4 linked regions of the Schizosaccharomyces pombe genome follow. The protein of the gene in region 1 binds, or shares a complex with, the protein of each later gene. Each region holds a gene or a part of one and is shown on either strand. Other genes may lie near its edges.

Evidence for each region.
Region 2: tfg3 (region 1) and ssr2 share a complex: the UniProt entries of both Schizosaccharomyces pombe proteins name them as parts of the SWI/SNF global transcription activator complex.
Region 3: tfg3 (region 1) and tfg1 share a complex: the UniProt entries of both Schizosaccharomyces pombe proteins name them as parts of the fcp1/TFIIF/polII complex.
Region 4: tfg3 (region 1) and ptf1 share a complex: the UniProt entries of both Schizosaccharomyces pombe proteins name them as parts of the mst2 complex.

Annotation. Positions count from the first base shown.
Region 1 is NC_003424.3:893,331-897,066, reverse strand, and holds tfg3 (TFIID, TFIIF, Ino80, SWI/SNF, and NuA4 complex YEATS family subunit Tfg3), read right to left. Parts: upstream 2,069-3,736; 5' UTR 1,702-2,068; coding exon 1,660-1,701; exon of another isoform or gene 1,471-1,659; coding exon 1,302-1,470; exon of another isoform or gene 1,245-1,301; coding exon 1,093-1,244; exon of another isoform or gene 1,029-1,092; coding exon 666-1,028; 3' UTR 520-665; downstream 1-519. Other genes in the region: SPOM_SPAC22H12.03 (hydrolase), read right to left, coding at 1-190; protein mug35, read left to right, coding at 2,644-3,348. UniProt on the Schizosaccharomyces pombe protein: Functions as a component of the DNA-binding general transcription factor complex TFIID, and the RNA polymerase II associated general transcription factor complex TFIIF.
Region 2 is NC_003424.3:2,509,370-2,513,368, reverse strand, and holds ssr2 (SWI/SNF and RSC complex subunit Ssr2), read right to left. Parts: upstream 2,289-3,999; 5' UTR 2,119-2,288; coding exon 607-2,118; 3' UTR 523-606; downstream 1-522. Other genes in the region: SPOM_SPAC23H3.11C (glucosidase), read left to right, coding at 1-409. UniProt on the Schizosaccharomyces pombe protein: Component of the chromatin structure remodeling complex (RSC), which is involved in transcription regulation and nucleosome positioning. Controls particularly membrane and organelle development genes.
Region 3 is NC_003421.2:2,160,630-2,165,146, reverse strand, and holds tfg1 (transcription factor TFIIF complex alpha subunit Tfg1), read left to right. Parts: upstream 1-1,973; 5' UTR 1,974-2,023; coding exon 2,024-2,563; exon of another isoform or gene 2,564-2,646; coding exon 2,647-2,742; exon of another isoform or gene 2,743-2,753; intron 2,754-2,783; coding exon 2,784-3,582; intron 3,583-3,631; coding exon 3,632-3,816; 3' UTR 3,817-3,952; downstream 3,953-4,517. Other genes in the region: nuclear pore complex component nup97, read right to left, coding at 1-115; protein Cwf26, read right to left, coding at 982-988, 1,029-1,927; succinate-CoA ligase beta subunit Lsc2, read right to left, coding at 4,247-4,517. UniProt on the Schizosaccharomyces pombe protein: TFIIF is a general transcription initiation factor that binds to RNA polymerase II and helps to recruit it to the initiation complex in collaboration with TFIIB. It promotes transcription elongation.
Region 4 is NC_003424.3:2,604,400-2,607,960, reverse strand, and holds ptf1 (phosphoric monoester hydrolase), read right to left. Parts: upstream 1,810-3,561; 5' UTR 1,777-1,809; coding exon 1,734-1,776; exon of another isoform or gene 1,683-1,733; coding exon 1,644-1,682; intron 1,588-1,643; exon of another isoform or gene 1,421-1,587; coding exon 1,348-1,420; exon of another isoform or gene 1,307-1,347; coding exon 772-1,306; 3' UTR 547-771; downstream 1-546. Other genes in the region: protein She9, read left to right, coding at 2,749-3,561. UniProt on the Schizosaccharomyces pombe protein: Component of the mst2 complex which is a highly specific H3 lysine 14 (H3K14) acetyltransferase that functions together with gcn5 to regulate global levels of H3K14 acetylation (H3K14ac), critical for DNA damage checkpoint activation.

The sequences.
Region 1 (3,736 bases):
AGGGAGAATCTCCATGACACCTCTGATCAATAGCGTAAATATCCCGGTCAAGTTTGCAGGAAAACTTTTTTGCCAAACTTCTCCAATTACGCTTAGATCCCAATAGTCCGTGGAAGATCAAAACTGGGGGGTGTTTAGCAACTGTGGCAGAATACTTCTCAAAGGCTAATTTAACTGGTTTTAGAGACATAACTCTATAATTTCTTGTGCAGTAATAAATAAACACTATAAGGTCGATATAAAATAATTATAATTTAATCTGTCATGAAGTTGTAGTTGCAGGAAACGTTTGCGAATAGCAAAGTGAGCCTAATCCAAGGAATGATAAATAACTACTTATCGGCAGTGTGATCATAATCTGAATTGCTGATTATGAAAGCTAAAAAGGTCGGTTTTAAAATATTATGTAAGTAAAAACAAAAATAATTATATTAATCTAACCAAATATTCTTTTTCGAGACAAAAGCTACACCATAGTACCAAAATACAAATGTTTGTATCGCTGTTTAAGCGCAAGTTAAACTCAAAAAATAGTGAAAAGGAATGAAATTTCTTATTTAAATTATGATACAAGAACTCATTAAGCAGTCTTCAGGAAAAAAGTAGAATGGGGAAACTAACGCTTCTCCCTTAAAGTAGGCTGCACAAAACTGCAATGCTCTTAATTACATAGTGACGCGTTTAGCACAGAAACTGTATAATAAGAGCAGAAGATTGTCCGGCAGAGTATATAAGTCAATATGGAATTCACCCCCTTCAATGTCGTTTCGGACATACATGTCTGGTGTTTTGTTCTCATTCACCATCTGCACAACTTGTAACAAGTCATCCTCCTGAAGTTTTTGCAAACCCTCTGCAAGTTTATCCATGTCAACAGGTTTAGCTTTCGCCTTTTTCTTCCCAGCACCAACTTCTGATTCGTTTTTTCTTTTATCCTTACGAGCTTCTTCACCTTCATCACTGTAGCCAGGTACTTCTCCAGTGGCTGTCAGTGCCTTTAATAAACCTGGCCTAGTAGCATTGATATTCTAAGACTCAGTTAGCACCATAAAATCAGAGTCTAGTAAATGTTAAAATACTTAAAACACATACCAATTCGATATCCTCATGATAATGCTCCTGCTGAAAATGTAAATAGTGAAGGAACCGATGTTCACCACCTTTGTCCGCATAGTATATTATGATCTCCATTTCAAACTCACCCCATCCTTGCTCTTTTATTTGGAAAGGAGGTTTTCTGATAGCTAAAAAAATTAGTTAACGTTATTCTGCTAATCTTCCTTTCATCACATAATACATACTGCGTGTAGGATTTTGAAATGTTGGATGTAGCTTATAGGTGACACGATCAACAAAGGAAGCGTCAGTTTCTTCTCCCTGAGGATTTAAGCAGACCAATTTTATAGACCATTCCCTCACAGGGAAGCTTTGATCGTTCAACACAGCTGCTTCACCTCCCGGCAACACATTCTAAATATTGTAAGTTCAAAGTTCATCAAGATACTTGCAAGAAAAAGTTTTGTTTTTTATTGTTCTTCTAAATTCAATTGTACGAGCATCCTGTATAATGCCAAAGTTTTTTGTAATTGCACCTAACCTTGACCATTGGGTCAAATAACGCGCCTCGGTCGTAGCAAATGAATCAGATGGCTTTCATACCTGATCAGTAATTAATCTCACAGTTCTTTTCACAGTTGTCATATTCTTAAATCAATGTATATGAGGACGAAAAATATATGGATAGAAGACGCTTAGCGAGTCGTGAGAAGAGATATCGGGCTAACGATTCTATAACTTTTGCGGTATTCTTAAAATTGAAAAGATAAAAAATCTTGCCAATGTACGAATTGAAATAGAAGCACCAGTAATTTGTGTTCAGAAATATTGAGCACTACTACTTTTAAGGACTTCTAAAAGTCGGTTAACTCAAGGATAAAGCAAATGACTTTGGTTTAATAACAAATATCTCTTTTGTTAAAATTTATTAGCAGATTACAGGGAAGTAACTGCTAAAACTGTGAGACTATAAAACGTTTGAATAGTGGAATATGACTTTTGGGTTCGTCACGGCCCAAATTCCTGGAAAGTACAAGTAGACTTACAAACTGACAGTGAAGGTATGGTACTGCAGTGTAATATACTAAAAACTTTAATGCACAGTCAGTTTAATTTTAAAGCATAATAACGAAACTTTTGGATGCGATGAATTTTACTCGAACTATATAGTAAACAAACCCTCGAGCACCATGTTAATATAAGGCATTGGGTATATTATTTTTATGCAGAGGTAAGAGTTTATCCCGATTCCCAAGTTAGCTTATTCATAAATTGGATCTAGGCTTTAGCTGAAAGAACTTTGAACTATTGGATTCTTTTCCAGCGATGGATTAATCTGGCAACTTCTTTAGAACATTTGAGAATAACAAAAAATACCGCAGCAAAAGAACTTTGTTGCTAATACGAGAATAGTGAAAGTTGTTTAATATTTTAAAAAATTGATTGTGTCAGTAATCGATCCTCGTTATCCAGAAGCCGTGTCAGTTACGTATATAAATGGAGTGGTAGCATATGCGTTGTTCACATTGTCAATTACACCCGGCAGCTTAAGCTTTGATTTAATTTCACTTTAGTACACAGTGAAACATGACTAACGAAAGACATGATGAATTAGCATGCTTAGGCATATTCCCTTTGAAAAATCCCAAACAACTAGATGGTGTTGTTACCCCTATCTTGCAGTTGAGAGTCAAGTTTTTAGCACCCACGGATCGATGGTGGGAAGGATTAGTTATAAATAAGGACCTCAGCAAAGAGGAGTCAGAAGAGTTATGGAAATTTTTGCAAAGCTTTGACCCTCGTTCTGCCAAGTTTGTTGGTCGCGGGACACCTGAAGACCATGTGATATCGTATTTATTTGAAGCAGGGAAGTATGAATTTGAGGTATTTTTTTACCAAAAGGATCATTCTCTGAAACTTATGGGCCTCTATGATAAAACCCAAAAACAATTGTTGAGACGCGATTCTAGTGGTGACTTAACATCCACTGACAAGGAGCGGGATGTTTCTCCTGTTTCACACAGCGAAAAGCCTTACTGGGATCGTTATGATCTTGACCAACCTTCCAATCAAGATGTAGAAGAATCTAGAAACCTTGTCCAAGAACCTAAGCATCGATCGAAGAAATATGATCGTCTTGGTTTGGATGAGCTAGTAATGGAACAAACTGCTAGTCTTTGGAAAATCTGCTCCAGAAATGGCATGAGTGTCGATGAATTTCTACGCTTCATTCGCATGGGTTTGGAATCTAATTTCCAACATTCAAACCAAGTGATTCCAACGCATTTTTAACGATATTATATCATTCATATTCAATCGACACAAATGTTTAGCAACCGTTTAGTGTCTTTTACCCAAGAAATATCTAAACACTTTTTTTATTTTTATAAAATATTTGTAAATTAAAAAAAGATGATTAAAACGATAAATGCTTAATTAGGTATTTGTTGAAACACATTTCATTTTATGATAAAGAACGTTCCTAGTATCAGCATTATTTATTTAGATGTAAATTGGGAATTGAACCTAATTACACCTTTTATGTATACATTCTTCTTCACTTTCTAGCGGATTTCCAAACCGAAAGTCAAAGTCATTTGGAGATTGTATACATAGCTCTATAGCCGACGAAATTATGACCCTCAATTTTTATGGAAATAAAAAACACCAATTTCTTATC
Region 2 (3,999 bases), 1.6 Mb from region 1:
TGACTACAAGCCTGGTGAAGGTACTAATGGGTATGTATCTTGGTTTGTCGGTCCAAACTATACTTGGTCGATGCTTGGCAGCGCCGTCGGTCAAAATGGAAATGTCGGACCTCGTCAAATTAGTGAGGAGCCAATGTCTATTATTTTCAACCTTGGAATATCAAACAATTGGGCTTATTATTACTTCCGGGATCTTTCATTTCCTGCAGTGATGTACATAGATTACATTCGTATCTATCAAGACCCTGATGACACCAACTCACATATCGGATGTGATCCCCCCGGCTATCCTACTACCAAGTATATTGAAGAACATCCGTTAGCATACAAAAATCCAAATGCTACAACTTGGGAAATGGCTGGTTATACATGGCCTAAGAATTCTTTAATGCATAAATGTAACACTTAATTGCCATTATGATCATATTTTATATGAATTATCTATATATTTAAGATGCATTTCAGTTATATAACAATTAGAATTTAATGTTCATTTTTTTTTCTTTTTCAAAAAAAAAATTTAGATTACATATATATATGTCTATAAAAACTAGATAGCCAAAAGAACTTCATGCAGAATACAAATTTGAATTTGGTGAACCTAACTTATAAAGCAATTGTACGAAATTTATCGGGATATTGCTTACTTAAAGGAGAAACGGTTGTTGCCGTAGGCATCTCAAATGTCAATAATGCTTCTGCATGTTCTGTACTCATTAAATCGTCAATTATTTTCAAACCATCTTCACCGCCCAAATTAACAGCTTCTTCCAATTTCTTGTTAAACGCAAGAAGCATTTTTTTAGTAGACAAACGACTTAGTAGTAAGTTTTTTCCACGAAGATCGAGTTCAGATAATTCTAAAGAACACATCTTTTCGAGTTGTTCAAGCACCTTCATTTTAAGCTGTAACTTCTCAAGCTGAGCCTGGATTAACGAAAAAACCAAGCGTCGAAGCTGGCGATTTTCAAACGCTGCAATCAATTTTGCTTTTTGAGCAGCAGATTTTAAAGCATAATAAGCAACCCTCTCTAGTGGGTTTTTAAACTCGGAATTCCCAAAGGAGGTTTCTCCTTGTTTCACTGATTCATTTTGCTTGCGCTCTTTCATGCCTTGTTGAACAATGGAAGCCAAATATGTTAAAGTACTTAAAACTGGATTTTCATTTTCATCAAAGGGCAAAAATCCCTTTTTAAATGGGGAAAAGTCACCCTGAAGTTTCTGTCGATAGGGATCCTCTATAGGAATCTGGAGGAAATGAATCAAGCATTGCTCTTTAGTTCGTGATCCAACATGTAAAGCTATTTGATTCCAGTCGTCTCCATAAGTTTCAATAGCTTCTAATAAAAGCAAAGTTTCTTGGTTAGACCATGGTTTTTCCTCGTCGTGATTGAAATCAATCGCATCCATGCACAAAAAATCAGAGGAATTAAAGGAAGAAGAAAACCTCCCTTGTTTATAACAGTTTGGACAGATGTCATATTTTTTGTTTTTTAAGTTGTGATACCAAGTTTGAGAGCAATTAACACCGCAAGTGAAACAAACTTTATCGACTCGAGGGACTTTGTCGCTTTTTTCATCTTCTTCTTTGGGAGAGGTTTGTTCCATTGCATTTAAACTAGGGCTGTAATGCTTTTCTTCTAATTTAACAAATTCTTGGCTCGAAGATCCACCGACGGTACTAGGAGGAGGGTGTTGAGCTAACATTTCTTGCGTGACGATTGGAGTATTACTAATAGCTTGAACATGTCCTGAAATAGGAGGAAGTCGGAATGCAGGTCGCGTTTCAGGATCGATTTGATAGTTAATTAAGCCCCACTGTTCGAGAAATGCATGCACGCGAATTATAGCACAAACATCACCAACAAGATTTCGACGACATGCAGTAACTGTCAGGTATTCATTTGGTTCTAAACGATATGAATTAATCATAAAATCTCTATAGTCCTTGTATATAGAAGGAGTTTTGAGAGGAGATTTTCCATTAAAAAATTCGGGATTCGACCTTCGCTCAATATCGTGTATTTTCGACATGTCAAACCATCCTGCATAAGAAGGAACAATGATGGGATAAGTTTGTTCCACCAGAAAGGGTATGCGAACTTGATCGAGAGTCATCGTGAAGGTCTGATTTTTGAATAGTCCACTCACGAAAAAAATGTAATACCCACAAAATTAAGTTGTTTTTAAGTTGTAACACACTTGAAAAGTTAAGAAAGAGGCCTTAATAATAAAAATTATAAATACAAGAGAAATAGCACAATTGCCATTTAATAAATTAGAGCACTAGTTGTTGACAAGTCGTCCGGCTATACTCATTTACAAGTTACGGTGCATTTTGATAAACGTGTTTTAAGAAACAATAGCTTAACTACATATTAAGGCCATTTCGCTATATTTAATTCGACACGCTAATTATCACTATGTTTTTTCCTAATAAAAAGTTACGTTAGTTAATGGATACAACAAAAGAATTTGTAGTAATTGAATGAATATAAGGTGGGTCTATGGGTACGAATGGTAAATTGACGATCTTATATTATAAGCCAGAGAACATTTGAGACTGTTACACGCATATATCGAGGGCTATCCTTCTTAGAATATCACTCTACTTTATTCGGATAACTCAAGTTTTCAAGTCAAAAGAAAGCATCTAGAAAATGATTGTTCTTAGTTACATACTTTTGTCGAAAAGCTGAAACTGTCACAAATCTTCTGATTTTTTGTGAAAAAATCTAATTTCTATAAGAAAAAAACAAGGGACCAACCGGATTTGAACCAGTGACCTGGGGATCTGCAATCCCTCACTCTAACCACTGAGCTATGACCCCTTGCGACAATTGCAAGGCAAAAAATGAATTATAAGATCTTTTTACGATTTTATTAAGTTGAGCAATTAGAAATCAAAGTTTCCGCTAAGGCTCGAAAGAGAATCTTGCCAAGCTTTGAATATATTTATAAAGGTTGCTTTAAATAGCGCGAACGCAACTATCTGAACAATTTTTAACGGAAACCGCTTCAGCAGTAAGAAGAAAATATTTCTATTTTAGCATTCAAAATGCAGTTACTAAGTATGATTGATTTCAAGGCTTATTATAAACCGGCATTTTACAATGTACTTAGTAATTTATGGAGATGAGAACTCCTTAAAATATAGCTTCGTGATCCTTCAAATCCTATCCAACTCAATTTACTTGAAAAATTTGAAATTTCCGGCGCTCGTTAATTATCAAACTGAAAAACCAGCTAAAAGAATGCGGGCATTATTCACCGAATAGCCTCAAAGTATCTAACGATATCGATAAGTTATCTACAGGTGCAAAACTTCCACTGTTATAATTGTAACTTTTTCAAGCGGGCTTCGGTTAACAGAATTTTATAAACATGTACAAATTGCTCATTTCCTAAGCAATCCAGAATTTTGCCTTCACCGACAAATTACTGATGAGGATCACGGCGAAATGGCAAACTTGAAAAATGTAAATTGCATCTTGCTTCGAAAGCTATTTCACGCTAAATTAATAATTTTATAGTAAAAGAATAAACAATGCTGATCTCAAAATTTGTATACATTTGATAAAAAGGCATAATTTTGTTGGGTTCGATGCTTAGTAATAAAATTATAGTTCGAGAATATATGGTTACTATATGGCTAGAGAAAAATGATATTTTTTGATTATTTTGCGATTATATGTGTTGCCAAATTATAAAGCCTGCTATATCCTGGCGGATCTAATTTCTTACTCCGGGCGCTCACAACATTTTGGCAGTTTATTCCGTTATCCATTAAAGTGGTAAATTTTTTGGAATGGTTTGAAAGTTAACCTTAACCATCTCCCAGTTGTGGCACCAACACCAACAATTTGGTATTTTTGTATAATTATCAATTTATAAGTTTTATTTATAATTGATATTTTGAAAAAAAAGTACTAGTTACTTATCTTCAAACTGAAAAGGTTGTGATTTGCGATTTTCTTACTATTGTAAAAAGTCGCTTTT
Region 3 (4,517 bases), on another chromosome or scaffold:
ACTGGATAAACGGAAGACATGGTTCCAACAACTCATTAGCAAGTTTACGAGACTTTTGATCTAAAAAAGGTATGCCTCTAGCTTCCTTTGGTGAATCGTCAGACGCAACCGTCATGGCGATGGTCAAGATGTAAACAAGCACAATGCGTTTGAGAGAATCTGTCTCGGTGAACTAAGGAAATTGAAGTCACCGAGTTCACCGAACCTTAATTGTTAAAAACAATATTTCATACTAAACAGGTCAACAGTAAAACGTTAAAGAGTATTTGAATCATCCTTGTACTCGGTTGGAATTACAAATTCTTATGCAAAAAGCTTTGCTTTACGTATACAGCAAGTGTGAAGTCAAGTCTGTCTATGTGGATGTGAAAGGGCTTAAAAAGTATAAAATTAAAAATTTTAAAATACTATTTTCAAACATCGATTGTTCTCGTTTAGCTCTTACTATCATTTAAAAGCCAATACATATGAATTCACAGAATCAGCAGTGAATTATTTGGGCCCTTAGGGACAGCAATAGGGAAATGATATTTAATATTGGTAAAAAGTGTTCAGAATTTAGAGAAATAACTGAATGGATGATATTTCAAACCCTCTTACTACTAACAGCCGTGGTCGCTCATACTCATACGTTTAATGACCCATAATTGAATATAGGATTAAGAAATCGTCAGAAATTTAAAAATAAATATATATAAACTAGCAAAAAATATTTTAGTATAGATAAGGCTACCATTGTCTCGTGGTGTGCGATTTCCCAATAAAGCTATTTGCTATAAGCGTTTTGCTTTTGTAGGTAAATATCAAAGCCATTAGTTAATTAAAGGAAATGGGACAGAATCTGGAAAATCAAGTATTGTGCCTCGGTTGACACTCGTAAACTAGAAGAGATTATGTTCAACTCGCATTACAATATCATATACATGAAACCAAATAGTCTCCTCCATTTTCAGCAGAAGAAATAATGAAATCGTTAAATATTTACATGCTGATTTCGTTAGAGATTTATTCAAAAACTGATTACTTACTCCTCAATTGCCCACATATGTGCCTCGTGTTCTTGTGCCTTTCTCTCATTTTGGCGCTGAAACCATTTATTTTCAAATCCATTACCACGAATAATTCCATCCCAACGATGGCCAGGTCGTATATTAAACCTATTGGGAGGCGCATATCCTTGATAAGTAGCTTTTGATGATACAGGTTTATTAGTGAGAAACGAAGCAGCTGGGTCATTCCAACGAGACCTTTCTTTCAATTCCTTATTGTATTCAGGATCGTCCTCATAACGCGCCAATGGCACCGTTTTTTGCCTTTCAAGTTCTTTTAGGTATTCTTTCTGTTGACGCACTTGAACCACACCTTGTTGTTGTTCCTTCTGTCTTCTAGCTTCTTCCTCTTTCTCTTTTAATTTTCTTTTGGCTTCTTTTCTTGCAAGAACCAGATCTATCCTTCTCCCTGTGGCATCTCTGTAAACAGTTTCGCGACTTTTGCGAAGCTCTTCCTCATCAAGATTGGATGATTTCTCTTCTCTCTTTCTTCTTTCTTCAGCTTTAAAGGTCACCTGCTTTCCAGTTAACAGACCGAACTGAGGAATTGATTCAGCATCATGAGAATCCTGTTGTTCAGATTCGACAACTTCATCATTCCCCACAGCTTTCCACAACTGAGCAGGTTTATTAGTAGTTTTTTCTATATTCTGATAAATAGCATCAATATCTCGATCTTTAAGGCTTTCATTTGCGACAATTGTAGGGGCATCATGCAAAGATGTGAGTTCTCTGTTGACTAGTGAAAATGAATTGTCATCGTCCCATCCAGCGACATCTTCATCCTGAATTTCTACAAAATCCTTCTCTTTCTTCTTTTTCTTTTTCCCTTGATCTTTTCGTAAATACTTTTTAGCAATATAGTCGGCGTTTGACATATGTGCTGAATGCATATTTTCTTACCTGAGCGCTTCTTAACTCGCTACCTTCCAACACCGGCGGAAGATCAGTATTGACATATTTTATCGGAGAACATGGATTCACAAGAGACAAAAGTTTTTGAAAATGTAAAGCAGGAAAATCCTGATGAGAAGAAACCCAAAGTTGAGGAGCCTGACTCCCAAAATAATGCTTCGACACAATCGCAGCAAAAATTTTTGGATTTCCAGCTTTCATGGTGTCCAGAGAGTGAAAGAAAAACAACTAAATACCATTTATTAAAATTTCACTCTAACAAAGCCATTGATCCTTCCAAATCCTTTGTGCCACCCATAAAAATGCAACGCAGAGACCCCAATGCTCCATCTTCGTCAAACGGAGAACAAAATGCAGAACAAGGAAGCTCCAGTAACGTGAACATCGCTTCAATCGCTCCTTACGGTGGCGCTCAAAACATGAAGCAGAATGCCTTTAAAAGGAAAACTCGCCAGGTCGTCAAAGTTGATCCACAGGCCCGCAGACTACAAGAGGAGGAGTTATCTCCTTGGATTATGGAAGATTTTGAAGGAAAAAACACATGGGTTAGTACGATGGAAGGCGGCCAATCGTCTGCATATGTATTGTTCATGTTCTCTGTAAGTTTTTATCCCATTTGAAGATGTTGGATGTTTATCATTCATCTTTTGATCATTTAAGATTTTTTATGCTTACTCTATAGGAAAATGGTTTTAAGGTGATTCCAACTGATAGATTTTATCGATTTAATCAACGTAACAATTTCCAAACGCTTTCAATTGATGAAGCGGAGGCAAAGGTCAGTCCTTATTTCCATCAGGTCTTGTCTAACCCATTTAGATGAATAAAAAAACTCCGATTCCTCGCTGGTTTATGAAAAAGGAGAGTGAAGAAAACTTAGCAGAGGCAGGCTCTGCTTCACCCATGTATAAACTTAAGACGGTTCCAAATGCACGTCCTGTAACGGGACCGAGAGCTAGTGGAAGTGATGATGAACTAGATTATGACGAGGAATTCGCTGACGATGAAGAAGCACCTATTATGGAAGGAAATGAAGAAGATAATAAGAAGTTGAAAGACAAGATTAAAAAGGAAATGCTAACTGCCAATTTGTTTGGTGAAGCTGATCAAGATGTCGACCTTGAAGAGGAGAATGATAGACAAATGTCGCGTGAAGGAAAAAAGCTGCAAAGATACTTAAAATTGCTTGAAAAGAATTTAGCTTATGAGAGTGATGAGGAAGATGAGGACCCTTATGCTTCCTCCCATGATGCGTCTAGTGAAGAAGAAGTTTTGCAAGAAGAAGAAGAATTGCAAAAGCGTGAAGAAAAACTAAAGTCTAGATTTTCTGCGAACGCTTCCAAAACTAATACACCAAGACCACTAGAACGAACGCCAAGCAGCGTATCTCCTGTCAAAGCTTCATCGCAACTACAATCACCTAATACTTCTATTCAAATAAGGCCTCAAGAACAACTTATTAACAAACCTGGATATATAATTCTCCGCTTATCAAGTGAAAAGTTATCACGGTTTGCCAATGACTTTCCCCGTATGGTCCCTAGCATGGGGTCTACAGAAACGAGTGTAGGAGATCAAGTGGAGGTTGTGGGAGATACTACAAATGTTCCAATTGATGGTATGCTAAAGTTTTACATTTACCAGAAAATTTATTAACGTGCTTTTAGATTCTAATCTGATTACGGAGGCAGAGGTAATGAAGGCTTTAAGAGCTGGTCCCATTTCTATTAAGGATCTAGTTCACCTGTTCCAACGCAAAATTAGAGCCGACAACAGAAATCGGTTGGGAATACAGAAGATCATTCGAAAGGTTGCTCGATTTGAGAACAAGCTACTCGTTTTAAAAAACTAGTTATGAATTATCTATGTAATAACGTTTATATATTAATGAACATTAAAGAAAACATTTGTTTTATTTTTGGAAACAAAATTCAAAATTGCATTAATTTAAGAGCATAGTAGAACTATTACAATTTAACATTTCCCCTAAAATAGAAAACGTCGGATTGTTAAGAAGTGCACTCGTCGATCGGTATAGTATCAAATACACGAGTTTACGATCGCGATGTTCAACTATGCTACTATATAACTGTAAATGTGTATAAAATATATAAAGAAGAAAAATAACAAACCATTTCTTTAAGACATGGTAAACAGCTGTGCTAAGAATTCTATATACACAAGTCATTATATAAAATCATTCCATGATGCCGTATGTCGTAATGATAATAAGAAAAGGGGGTTGTAAACAATTATACATTAAAGCCGTTAAAATTAGCAGCCTACAAAGGTAGCTCGAAGCTAACATTCACATCGGCTTCACGTGCCATTTCGACAACGCGACTGAAACGACAAGCCTTCTTAGCTGCTTCATCAAGATCATCAAATGAGAAAATACGGAGACCTGAGTTGTTGATTACCTCTTTGGCAGCACCTTGGTTGGTTCCTTGAAGTCTGCAAATAATAGGTATGTTCAGATTCAACGCTGATACTACCGAGATAAGACCTTTGGCAATAACGTCGCATCGAACAATACCTCCAAAAATGTTCACA
Region 4 (3,561 bases), 1.7 Mb from region 1:
ACGAATTCACTGGATGACGGGGGTATTGTAAGCTTATTCACTTTCTTGACAAAATAATGGTGTCTGAGGTACGTTTACTGTACATATACTGTATTTTATTATTTATTCGTTCGTATGTGGGAAAGAGAAATATTATGTTTTACAGACACGGTGGGGAGTTAGGTGAAGAAAGAAAATGATGCGAGTACGGGAAAATTTGTATGAAGGTTGAAAGGTATGGTAGTAGACAGGATACATAAAGTCACAATATTTCATGTTTTAAATTTTATTTCAATTTATTAATAACCAAAATATTACAGACATGGATTTCGTAATAGCAATTTTTTCTGCAAGCCCCTTAAAACATCATTACAAGTTTCCTGACTTTGAGTAACTTTACCAAACCAAAATATAACAATATGCGTGATCTACATTATGTTATACTCGCTACCTTATTTCGGCGATCTCACGACCAAAAGACGCAAAATTTAATATCTCTTTATTTTCTTTCTTAAAAAAAATAAAGAGATATTGTAGCAATGCGACCACTTACGGACTGATATGATATAGGATTTTTCATACAAGACTCGCAAATGGATGAGTATATAAATACAAATTATGTTAAATCATTGCTTCTAACAACCCAAACTAATCGAACCGTTGGTGAATGATGCATTTAAATTGCTATGAGGACCTGCTTGAAACTAAGTTTCGAGGCGCTGATAACAAATATCTATCAACTTTAGGTATAAAAATGTTGAAGTACGAAAACTTCTTAGGTATTATTCAGATTTAACTGCTAAAGAATAATTTTTGCAAATCTTTATGGATATCAGCAAAGGTTTCGAATTCAGAGAAAGAAATTTTCTCCCTTTCACAATATTTAATTAAATCACGTCCTTTCTTGGCAAACAAGTGTTCTGTTTCCTTCGCAGCACTCAAATCGGAAACACCATCTCCGCAATAGACCATGTGAGGACGTTTACTTTCTGGCAATTGAGCATACGGACGGATAGTAAGGCTTTTGTCGTGTCCAAAATGACTGTCATCATGATACACAATGTTCCATTGACCATCAGGATGCACATTGATGTCATTAGAAACAATTTCAATACTACTTGCTTCTTCTTTGCCAAGGTATTGCTCAAAAAGTGCACGAATAAAAGGCTCCATACCACTTGAAAGGATGATTACACGAATGTCTTGAGACTTACACCATTCATAGAATGGTTTAAATGATGGATCAATGGCGACATTCTTCTTGAGAACCTCCAAAGCTTCATCATAGCTTAAATGCACTGAATCCAACATCTTCGCGAAAGCATCACTATGAATTGTTAAGAGTTGATTTACGCGTCAAACGCTTACCGAAAAGAAATGGAACCGTCAAGAACTTGTTGATTTAGATTCACACGGTTGGCGTTGCCCATTCCAAAGTTGTCTAAAACATAGTTAGTAAACCGTCGCCGTCGAGTGTTGCAGTAATAAAGCATTCAAGGTGGGCAGGGAAATTTTTGACCCAATGTTATAAAATCATAGATTTCTCTTACAGATTTTCGTAAATCTTCAATAAATATTCAGTTAAGCTTAATTGTAAGAACATTTTCTAACTACCTTTATACATCTTTTTATATCTGTAACAATCTTCCTATTCCCAACCTTACCAGTTAAGTAGTCATTGGAATCCTGGAGTGTAATAGTTCCTAGACCCCAAAAGTTAGTTGTCTGTTTTTATTGAAATTATTTTTTCATACCGTCAAAGTCACTGAATACGTATAACTGCTTTTTCTGAGCCATAGTCCAAATCTTTTTGAATTGCTGAAATTGCTTGCTTTGTACAGCTATCCAACTCTAGGATTTAAAGTAACGAAACTTACCAGCACTGATATAAAGTTTGTTGTTTATTCCGTGATTAGCAAGCAGTCGTTTGTTCGAGTCATGATAAATGTCATATTTTATCTTTTATATGCAAAAAAATGAAATTCTTAAAGTAATTTACAGTCTTCTTTATTTTAAAGGGCTGCAGATTAAAAATCGAAATTAGTGTAGAGGTTGAATTAACTTAAAGCATATATTTATCAAAGAAAAGAAATGATATTCTATATTTCTGCAAGGGGTAAACGATATCCTCAGTACGTTTTACCATAAATCCTAAGAAAAGTGGCCCAAGCCTTGTAAAGTGAAGTGTAATTTTTTTTTTTTTTGTTTTTTCTTTTTAAATTTCAAATGCTTTTTACATCTACAACATTCTCTCAAGCGTGAGTTTCGCTTATCCTAATGTTAGCTACGCAGTTTCGTATTCGTTTTAATGATACGTAGAACTGCGGTGAGTTTTCCTTGTGACCTATAATATCGCAATACACAGATAATATAAGTAGCAACTGAGTGTAGGTATTGTATTAACAAGGTTATAATGTTACCTATCACTGGTATAGCTTGTAACTGAACTGAGGAACGAGGTTTAGCAGTAGCTCTATTTATAGTATTCAGATGATATAAATATTAATAGATTATCATTAAGATCAGTCTCAATATCGTATCATACATAGTACGATATTTAATTAGGACATGTGACATATAGTGATACGCAACGTAAGTATTATAGCGTATTATAGTATTGCTGATACCTAACTATAAATAGCATATTCTAAGCTGTTTATGAATATTTCCGTAAACCAGCTTTATGGCTGGTGCAGCAGTACATTATGTTTAACTCACTATATGAAGACATGAAAGGATATAACAGTAATGTATAAGTATTAAGAAAGTATGTTGCAACGACTTTCTCAGTCTATTAAGGGATTTGCTGCTCGCTTTCCCAAAATCTATAATAAAGGAAATGGATCAGTTCAACAGACTATACTCCAAGCGAGTCAACGCTTGAATGAATTAACTGGTTATTCCTCCATTGAGGCATTAAAGAACGCGGTTGTAAAGCAGGAGACAAAGCTCCGTGATTTTAGATTATCTGCAGCTGAAGCAAGAAAGCGTTATATTGAAGCGGTTGAAAAAAGATCGTCAAGTCAACGTGAAGTCAACGAATTGTTACAACGACGTAGTAGCTGGTCTACTATTGATTTAGAAAGATTTACTAAACTATACCGTGATGATTATTCAAACAAAGAAGAAGAAATTAAGGCTCAAGAAGATGTGGATGTAGCGGAAAGGCGGGTAGAGGAAGCTCAAAATGGATTGGTGCGTTCGATTTTATCGAGATACCACGAAGAACAAGTTTGGAGTGATAAAATCCGGCAAGCAAGTACCTGGGGTACATGGGGATTAATGGGAATTAACGTTGTTCTTTTTGTGGTCGTTCAACTAATATTGGAACCAAGGAAAAGGAAACGGTTGGTTCGTGAAGCTGTGGATCACATTGACAAGGAACGAGAACTTGAAATAAATGATGAACTGAAAAAGATTTCCGAGAAACTTGATAAAAAAGGTGAAGCTGTCGGCCAAGCATTAGAGCTTACTTCTCCGAAAATTGACAATAAAAACCTTCCCAAAAATTCTGCGTCCTTAATTCTTCCTCCTATTAATTACGATACGTTTCACTCTTTTTTGGATTCGCTAAAATATTTC